Linked DNA regions of Cricetulus griseus. The protein of the gene in region 2 interacts with the protein of the main gene of each other region in a pairwise test. Links are inferred from orthologs where the notes say so. Each region holds a gene or a part of one and is shown on either strand. Other genes may lie near its edges.

The links.
Region 1: the proteins of Tead4 (region 2) and Ccdc172 interact in binary tests that used the Homo sapiens proteins (3 or more experiments, as listed by UniProt). The two-hybrid records come from large-scale screens. The link is inferred for Cricetulus griseus from reciprocal best matches to the Homo sapiens genes TEAD4 and CCDC172.

What each region holds. Positions count from the first base shown.
Region 1 is NC_048596.1:2,889,261-2,893,748, forward strand, and holds the start of Ccdc172 (coiled-coil domain-containing protein 172), read right to left. Parts: upstream 2,846-4,488; coding exon 2,767-2,845; intron 2,290-2,766; coding exon 2,204-2,289; intron 1-2,203.
Region 2 is NC_048601.1:18,130,171-18,134,538, forward strand, and holds the start of Tead4 (transcriptional enhancer factor TEF-3), read left to right. Parts: upstream 1-1,553; 5' UTR 1,554-1,556; coding exon 1,557-1,656; intron 1,657-4,368. UniProt on the Homo sapiens protein: Transcription factor which plays a key role in the Hippo signaling pathway, a pathway involved in organ size control and tumor suppression by restricting proliferation and promoting apoptosis.

The DNA.
Region 1 (4,488 bases), on a different chromosome or scaffold from region 2:
CAGGACAGCCTCCAAAGTCACAGAGAAACCCTGTCTTGAAAAACCAAAAACCAAAAACAAAAAAACACTTACTACCTGCTGTCAGGTCAGTATGTCACCAATCCCAGAGAAATGTACTTTATACAAAAGCTTACTAAGTGACCTTTAAAGAATACTGCCCCAGACACAAAGCTTCAGACACATTACTGTATGTCATGAAAGAATGTTCAAGATGAGCTTGAGATTCTGTTTTAATAGAGTTATGTTCTCCGTAATTGTTACTTTTATTATGGTAGTTATTTGGTTTTATAGTATATACCACGGACAAGCCATTTAAACTCTCAACTTCTTCACCTGCAAAATGGGAATGCTGGCTCCTCCACACAGAGTTCCTGTTAGAACTAAAGGAGTAATGTCACCTTTGAATAGTGCCAGGCACATGAGCACTGTTAGCTGCCAAGTGTGGAGGTGGCAATGTCTGTGTCTGTCTGTCTGTCTGTCTGTCTGTCTGTTTGTCCGTCTGTGTCTATCTCTCTCTCTCTCTCTCTGGACCTTTCTTCTGTTGGCTTCCATTTGCCAACTTTCAAATCATCATAACTCTTCTTCAAGGGAAGACAGCTACATCATGACACTGCTCACAGCTTGCCCAGCCTTGGCAGCTTTCGGCACTGTCACTAGGGGCTACTTTCTCTCTTACTATAGGAAAATAAGAGCGCAGGGGCTCAATGAATGAATAACAGCCCCAAGTTATGTTTTCAAAGACAGCCCGTCTCTTTTAGTTGGAAGGGGGGGAAAGGAAAGACTGGCTGGTGTGTAAGGGGGGAAGGAAAGACCGTCTGGCGTGTAAGGGGGGAAAGGAAAGACTGGCTGGCGCGTACTCATAGTCAGGAGGCATAAATGCTGGTATTCTACTGCACAGCAGGGTGACTGACGCAAGTAACCTATACTAAAAAATTAAAAGATATGTAATATTTTCACCACAAAGTCAGAATAACTGTTGCCACAGATACATTAACCTGGATTTGAGCATTATAAAATGCATATAAAAACACATGGAACCCATAAACATGTACAAGTTTTACTTGTCAAATTAAGACAGCTCCTTCTTTGTTATAGATCACACTCTTAGTAGTGAACACACTCACATGCAATGTTTGCTAAGCAACCAACACAAGGAGAATAAAGGTGGATAAGAAAAAGGTCTAAGTATGATCCTCTCAAAGCAACAGGGGCTGCAAATACCAGTATGTGTTGATCCAGGGAAAACTGAAACTTCTTCACAAATGTAAGCTAAATAGAGTAATAATTTATAATTTATTTACGTATAAGTTTATATTTAATATACAAAAAACAGACCATGTTATAGACAAAAACAGAGTAATTATGTAAACAGACTACCTATGCACACTGCTTGCTTAGTTCATCTTAGGTGTTGAAACAGGTTCTTGGACCCCTGTGTGCTCCTGCTCAGAGTGAGGCCTCCCATGTGGCCTCAGCATCTTCACACCTGTCTCCCATCTTTGGGATCAGAGTGCAAAGGGCCTCCTAAAAGCACTTTTATTGCCCCTCCCCGGTCACATCTTGGCCACATTCTCCTCCTACTGTACACACCAGTCCTCTGCTGGGGTCTCAATGTGCCTGGGGCAGATCTGCTCCCTCCCTTGGCTACAAACGGTTTCTCCTACGACATCTCTTTGCTTCTCCAAAATTCTACCGACAGTTCAAAATCTTTCTTGAAGCTATGAGACTCCCTTGGTTCTATTTATTAAAACCCAGAACTTTACCAGTGCAAAAGAGAGAGATGAGAGCAGGAGGACACTTTTGGATGAGACCTGTCCAAAAATGTGGTAATGACTAGAAAGTGAGAAAGCCGAGGCCCACCGAAGATACACACGATCTGTTATTACACCCGCAGAGCACACTTAAATTATTTAGCATTTAAAATTTATATGCTGCACTAAGTGCTTATTGGACAATTATTCTTCCCATGACATTGTGTTCCTTTACATTAACCACCCCACACAATGGGGTTCCTTATTTAAGGCTGGCTTCCTTGGGGCCACTTCCTATTAATATCTGAAGACATTATTGGTTTCAGAACTTTAAACTCTGGACAACACAATATATAATCCTGGAGCTTCCTGGTAGCCGGACAGTGGAGTTTTCCGAAAAGCCAGTCAGATCCCTCCCCACGCAACAGCTAGCTCGGTCTAGGCATCCCTACCTTGGATTCCAACTTCAGTTTCTCTTCCTTCAGATCCTCAGTCGCTTTCTTGATTTTCCCACGACATCTGGTAATTTCTGACCTCACTGGACACAGGCAAACCTTTACTTGCACTCACCTGAGTCTCGAGTCTCGGGCTCCTCTCCCCTCCTCTCCCCTCCCCTTTCCCTCCTCTCCCTTCTCTCTCTTCCCTCTCCCTCTTCTCCCCTCCCTTTTCCTCCTCCCCCCCCCCGCCCTGACCTCCCCTCCTTTCCCTCCCCTTTGTCTCCCTCCCCTCTCACCCCTCCCTGTCCTCCTCCTCTCCCCTCCCTCCCTCCCTCCCTCCTCCCCTCTCTCTCTCCTCCCTCCCCTTTCCCTCCCCCTCCTCTCCCCTCTTCCCCTCCCCGGGCTGCCCTGACCTCCCCTCCTCTCCCTCCCCTTTCCCTCCTCTCCCTTTCTCTCCTTCCCTCTCTCTACCCCTCCCCTCTCCCTCCCCCTCTCCCCTCCCTCCCTCTCCCCTCTCTCTCCCTCCCCTCCCCTCTCCCCTCCCTCTCCTCCCTCTCCCCTCCCCGGGTGGCCCTGACCTCCCCGCAGCGCCCTGCGGCTCTCCTCGGCCTGGTGCTCTGTGAAGAGGATCTGCTGGAACAGCGACTCCAGACTCATCTTTATCCAGATCCTGGGAAGCACAGGGGGGAGGCGGGAGGGGGCCCAGCTTGATGGGTGTGCTCGCAGCACCCATGCTCGCCCCATGCTCGTCCACCCGCGGGGGAGCAGCGGGGCGGGGCCAGCGGGGCGGGGCGGGGTGGGGCTCGTCTCCCCCATGCTCTAGAAGGTTCTCCCCGGCCTCCGTGGCCTCCCCGGCCTCCGTGGCCTCCGTGGCGGGCGCAGCTCACACTGAAAAACTCTTGCTCGCCCGGGCTCCGCGCAGCTCGCCCTCCGCTCCAGGAGCAGACGCCACGGTGAGGAGCGGGAACTTAACCGCGGCCTCGTGCTGGCCTCGCGAGGACGTAGCTACGGGAGCCGGGTGGGCCCATCCGCAGCCGTTCTGCGCTCGCTCCGAGGTGCGGCGGGCGGGTCACAGGTGTTACACAGTGCGGAGCCCGCGGTTGGAAGCATGAGCTCTGCAGAGTGTTACCGGGCGAGCAGGGGCTCGACCTCCATCCTCCTCTGCAATCAGGGCACAGCTCCCGGCCTGACACTAATCCCCGCCCTCGGTAATGAGGCCCCGGTGGTGGTGACACCGAGGCTTCGAGGCTTCGGATCCGCAGTGTGCGCCTCACACCAGCGGGTTGCTGCGCGTGAAGGGCGCATGCCCGGCTTCTGCACCACATCTGTCTGTATCTGTGTCTGTCTATCCATCCATCCATCTATATCTATCTATCTATCATTCTATTTGCGGTGTCGGTGGGTCAAACCTTGTTTGAATGTGCCAGGAATTCAGCAAAATACAGTGTAGTCAGATTTTTGCCACATACCATAGGCTTAGTTAACACCCATTAATGCCTCAGTGTAATCAGTTATCCATTTTAACCTGTTATGAATCTACCCTAATTCTCGTTAAGTCTGCATAGAATCTCATGTTTAAACTCGCAGAGCGCTGGCTGAAACTACAGTGAAGTGCAAGAGACTCACTCAGAACTATGCAAAGCAAATGCTGGTGAAAAGTCTCCCTGTCCCCGGGTAACCCTCCGCCAAGCGTGCTTTATTGACAACGCTGGAGTCTCATAAACAAGGAGTAAGTGTTACTTTTGGTAATTATTATATAATCATATAATAAAATTATTTACCTGCCTAGCACTCTGTTTCTGGGCTGAGTCTATGTCAGATGAGTCTTGCCGTTCCTTCGCTAATGCAGTCAAGGAGACAGACACAGAATATCCCAACAAAAAGTGAGCTCAGTGAACAATTTCGTTCAGTCGCCAGCTGAAATCTTGATGTATATAGATCCTTAATTTAAGACAAGCATCCTGTCTCTGTTACTTAGGACTGCAGCAATGAGACCAAGGTGACATGGCCACAGTCGTGTACCAAGCGAGGACAGAGAGCAACTGAAACCAAGAAGTCGGGGATTGGGAGCCGTGAATTCAGGGCTGGGTTCAGCTGTAATTTTCTTATTGCCTCACAAGCATAGCGAACTTACCATCTCTTGGAAGATGACACAGATTATGGTCTGGGCCATTTTCTCTGAGCACCCTCGTGTCACAGTGGTCAGCAAAGGAAAGAACTCCTGGAGGTAGAGCACATCCCTCATTCACACTGTTCCATTCAGAGTTCTCCCTGGTGGTCTGTGAGGAGCCAGCCTCACA
Region 2 (4,368 bases):
GGGGGAAGAGGAAGAGGAGGAGGAGGAGGAAGAGGAGGAAGAGAAAGAGGAGGAGGAGGGGGAAGAGGAGACCTGGGTTGTGGAGTTGGGTCTGAAACAAGCCTGGATTTTCTCTCCCCTCTTTCTTCCCTCCCTCCTGAAAGGGGTGGACTGATTCTAGAGCCTTGTGCATGCTAGGTGCCAGGTGGGCATGCCATCAGCCTGTTTTGGGGTGGTGGTGGATTGGATCTTATACCGTAGCCTACCCTGCTTTTGAACCTGTGGCAGCGCTCCTGCTTCAGCTTCCTCAGTGCTGGGGTTACCAACCTGCACCACTCATCACTATGTTGGTTAATTTTTTATTTTTTTTTCCAAGACAGGGTTTCTCTGCATGTAGCTTTGGCTTTCCTGGACCTCTCTTTGTAGACCAGGCTGGCCTTGAACTCACAGAGATCCACCTGCATCTGTCATCTGAATGTTGGGATTAAAGACATTTGCCACTAATGCCCAGCCAATTATTTATTTGTTTGTTTACTTATGAGACATGGTCTCACTCTGTATCTGTGGGTGACCTGGAACACACTACGTAGCCCCAGGCTGGCTTTGAACTTGTGATCTTCCTGCCTCTGCCTCCAGAGTGCTGGAATTACAGGTGTGAGTCAGCATGCGTTGCCTAATTTTCTTTCCTTTTGGAGATGAGGTCAGAGTAGGGCGGGCTCATAGCCCCTCCCTACCCTGCTCTTTGGATGTTTCCAGGGCCTTCTTGTCCTTGTGCTTTATAGTTTTTGTCATACCTGTGGGTGAGTGTGGACTGTGGCGTGGGCTCAGTCTCTCTACAGCCCAGTCTGGTAGGAATAGCCAGGGCTAGGTCATAGCCAGGAGCCATTGTACTAGGTGGGGCCAGGCCTGTCCTAAACAGTGTCTCTGTGGCCACAGCAGGATTAGATCAGGGCAGAGTATCTGGGGTTCAGATTTGTTATCTCTTTTCTGGGTCATCAAACCACATTGGGAGTTCTGCCAGCCTGGAGAATCCCTGTGCTGAAGGGGATTCCCAACTTGTCCCCACCGTGAATGACTGTAGCCACTGTGTCACCTCATATGTCCTTAGGTTAGGGTGGATCTCCCGGAAGGAAACCTCAGGTTTTCTTTTCCCTCCTAGCTTCAGTCACAGGTCGGTCACTGCAATGCAGAGGCTGTTCTAGTCACCAACCAATATCACAGCCCACAGGCAATGAGGGTGGTCTTGGTGAGACTGGACCTTTGACCTACACCTCCAAAGCTCTTAGAGTCAGTGCCTGGAGAGGGAACCGTTTCTGTCCTTGTGTTCAGAGTGGCCCGACTTCTTTCGTCATTTCTGTGTAACACCAGGCATGTCTTGTAAACATTTTGAGTTTCAATTTCTATCACGTCCTGTTTGGATTGGGGACCGTGGGAGTTGGTTACAGATGACATATTGACATCCCCATGAGTTATCTGCACAGACAGCTCCCAGTGTACGAAGGTCAACTTGTGATCTTTCTGTATTACAGTGTGGAAGTGATGCACATTCAGTAGAAATTTTACTGTTTTCCCAGCTAATGATAAACAGTATGTTTTTGCCGTGTGGGGCAGCAGCAGTGAGCCAGAGTGCCCAACCAGCCACATGGTCATGGGGTTGCCAGCATTGCTTTGACGCAGGTAATTAAAAGTATATTTCATGGGATATACAGAGCCATAGTGTAAAAGTATGTCGGCAGAGTGCACAGGCGCAAGCCTTTCATTTAGCCAGCCGTTGGGCATCAAGGCAAGAAGATCATTATGCGTTTGAGGCCAGCCTGATCTACATAGAGAGTTTTAGGCTAGCCAGGGCTACACAGTGAAACCCTAATGTCAGTACTCTAGTTTAAAAAACAGCATATCCCATTGAAGGACTGGAGAGGTGGCTCAGCAGTTAAGAGCACTGGCCGCTCTTGCCGAGGGTCTGGGTTCAGTTCCTGACACCCACATGGCAGCTCACAACCACCTGTTATTCTGGTTCTGTGGCTCCACCATCCTTTTCTGACCTTTGCAGGGACCGGACACACATGTTATACACATACCATACATCCAGGCATAACACTGCTAGACATAACATAAAATCTGAGAAAAATGTTTTATGTCAGTAACTACCAGGGAAATAGAAATTAAAACTGCTTTGAGAGTGCGTCTCACCCCACTCAGAAAGGCTGTCATCCAAAAGTCAGAGGACTGTAGGTGCTGGTGAGGGTGTGGACATGGGAACGGCTCTTCACTGTTGGTAGAAGCGGAGCTTGTCGCAGCCACTGTGGAAGTCAGTATGAAGGTTACTGAAATGCTCTCAATCTCATGATCCTCCTGCCTCAGCGTCTGGAATCTCAGATACAGGCATGCATCACCTTTCCCTTCTGCATTAGGGTATTATTAACTGACTAGTAAGTTTACCAGAATGGTATCCCATTGTATGTGGAAGAACATCTCTGTTGTGAAATAGTAGTGTTATTTGTCCTGGCCTGAAACAAAGGGAGCCTTTGGCAGCGTCAACTCATTAACGGTAATGCTGCCTGCCTGCCTGCGTTCCTACCTGCACCCATCCAGCAACAGGACAGACACTAATGTCTGGGTGATAATCGTGTTCTCCAGTTGGGGGAACAGGCAAGCTCAAGTGAGACAGCCTAGGCCCAGCCTGTCACAGCAACATTGTGTACTGTGTGCTTTGGTGGCTGGGGGAGTGAGGTTGTGTGGGAGATGGACCAGACACCGAGAGGTCTCAGGGTCCGAGGGCTGGGCTGGCAAATGTTCTACGGCACAGCTGCAACCCCAGCCCCCAGCAGTCGGATTTGGTTGCCTTCTCAGTCAAGCCACACTCCTCTCTACCCAAACGGTGCCCCGCAGCCGTGGCTTCTCTGTGAATCACTTGCGGATCTTCACTCTTCTGTTTCTGGAAGAGCGTAGGGTTCTGAGCCTTAGGAAGATCCAGACACAATCCCAGTTCCTGAATCTTCTCAAATGTCCCCTACGGCCAGCACCTGTGGGCCTTGGTGTAGAGTGCAGTGTTCTTTGGGCCTGGTTGTCTCAAGTAGGACATCTGGTGGCTTTTGGGTGGGGCAGAGAGAGCTAGAAGCCTCCAGGCTGGGCCTGAGAGCCAAGTCAGGGATTATTTTTATATCTCTGGCCATAGCACATGGTCTGGGCAGCGGTGCCATCTGTTTCCCACCCCACCACTCCCCTGGAGGGTCACTTGGGGGAGGAGCAGGAGGAACATCTCTGAGCTGAGGCTGACTTACCCCATTTTTCTGGCCACAGGGCAGGCTTGTGTGGGCAGTTTGCCTAGTAAGGAAGGGTAGGAGTGGCCAGCCAGTCACGACCAGGGACCAGGAGCACCACAGCCACACAGGGCCAGGGACAGCTCACTGCAGTAATGAATCCCATGTCCTAGGGCCTTGTGTGACCTGCTGCCCCACTTTCTCTGGGACAGTCCCAATCTTGGGAACATGGAGTGCAGGTCCTCAGAAAACCTCTCCCATGGGGCAGTCTGGCACAGATGGTCTCTAGTTCGCCCAGGCCTGTTCTTCTGGGCTGTCTTGGTCCCAACTTTGCAGTGTAGGGAAGGGCAATGTTGAAGAGAGGCAGGGCCCAAAGACTACCTCCTCTGGCACGTGGTGGGGGTGGGGCCATCATGAAAGGTGATACGGGGCTAGCCCTCCTCTTCATGTTGCCCTAGGCCCAGCTCAGAGTGTATGAGCTGTGCTTATGTTAGGCCCACGGAGAAAATGAAGTCCAACACCAAAATTAATGGGGCATTATGCATTAGAAGGTTAATTAATCACTGTCAGATATTAATCTTCATCTTTAGGGCTGCCAGGCCTGTTGAAGAGTTCAGATTTTGCACCCCAAGTTTGGAGCTTAAGAGCTGAACAGCCTGTATCTGTTAGACAACAGCCCTCCCTCCCCCAACCCCTGGCAACCTTCATGGCACCTTATCTGTAAGAATGTGCATCACCTTCTATGTGTGTACCCGTACTCACTGTCTTTTTTTCTGTGACTGGCTTGTTTTACTTAATATAATATCAGCGCCCATCCATGTCACAGCCTGTGATAGGGTTACCTTCCTTTTTAGTGCTAATAGCAGTCCATCGTATACCCACACCTCATTCTGTACTCATGGAGGGATGAAAGCAGGAACTCTCCTTTTTTTGGCTGTTGTGAATAGCGCTGCTATGAACATTCGTGTACAGATGTCTTTTGGAGTTCCTGCTTTCAGTTCTTTTGGGTGTGTGCCAAGAAGCAGGATTAGTGGATCACACTATTATTATTATTATTATTATTATTATTATTATTATTATTGGTTTTTCGAGACAGGGTTTCACTGTGTAGCTTTCGAGGCTGTCCTGG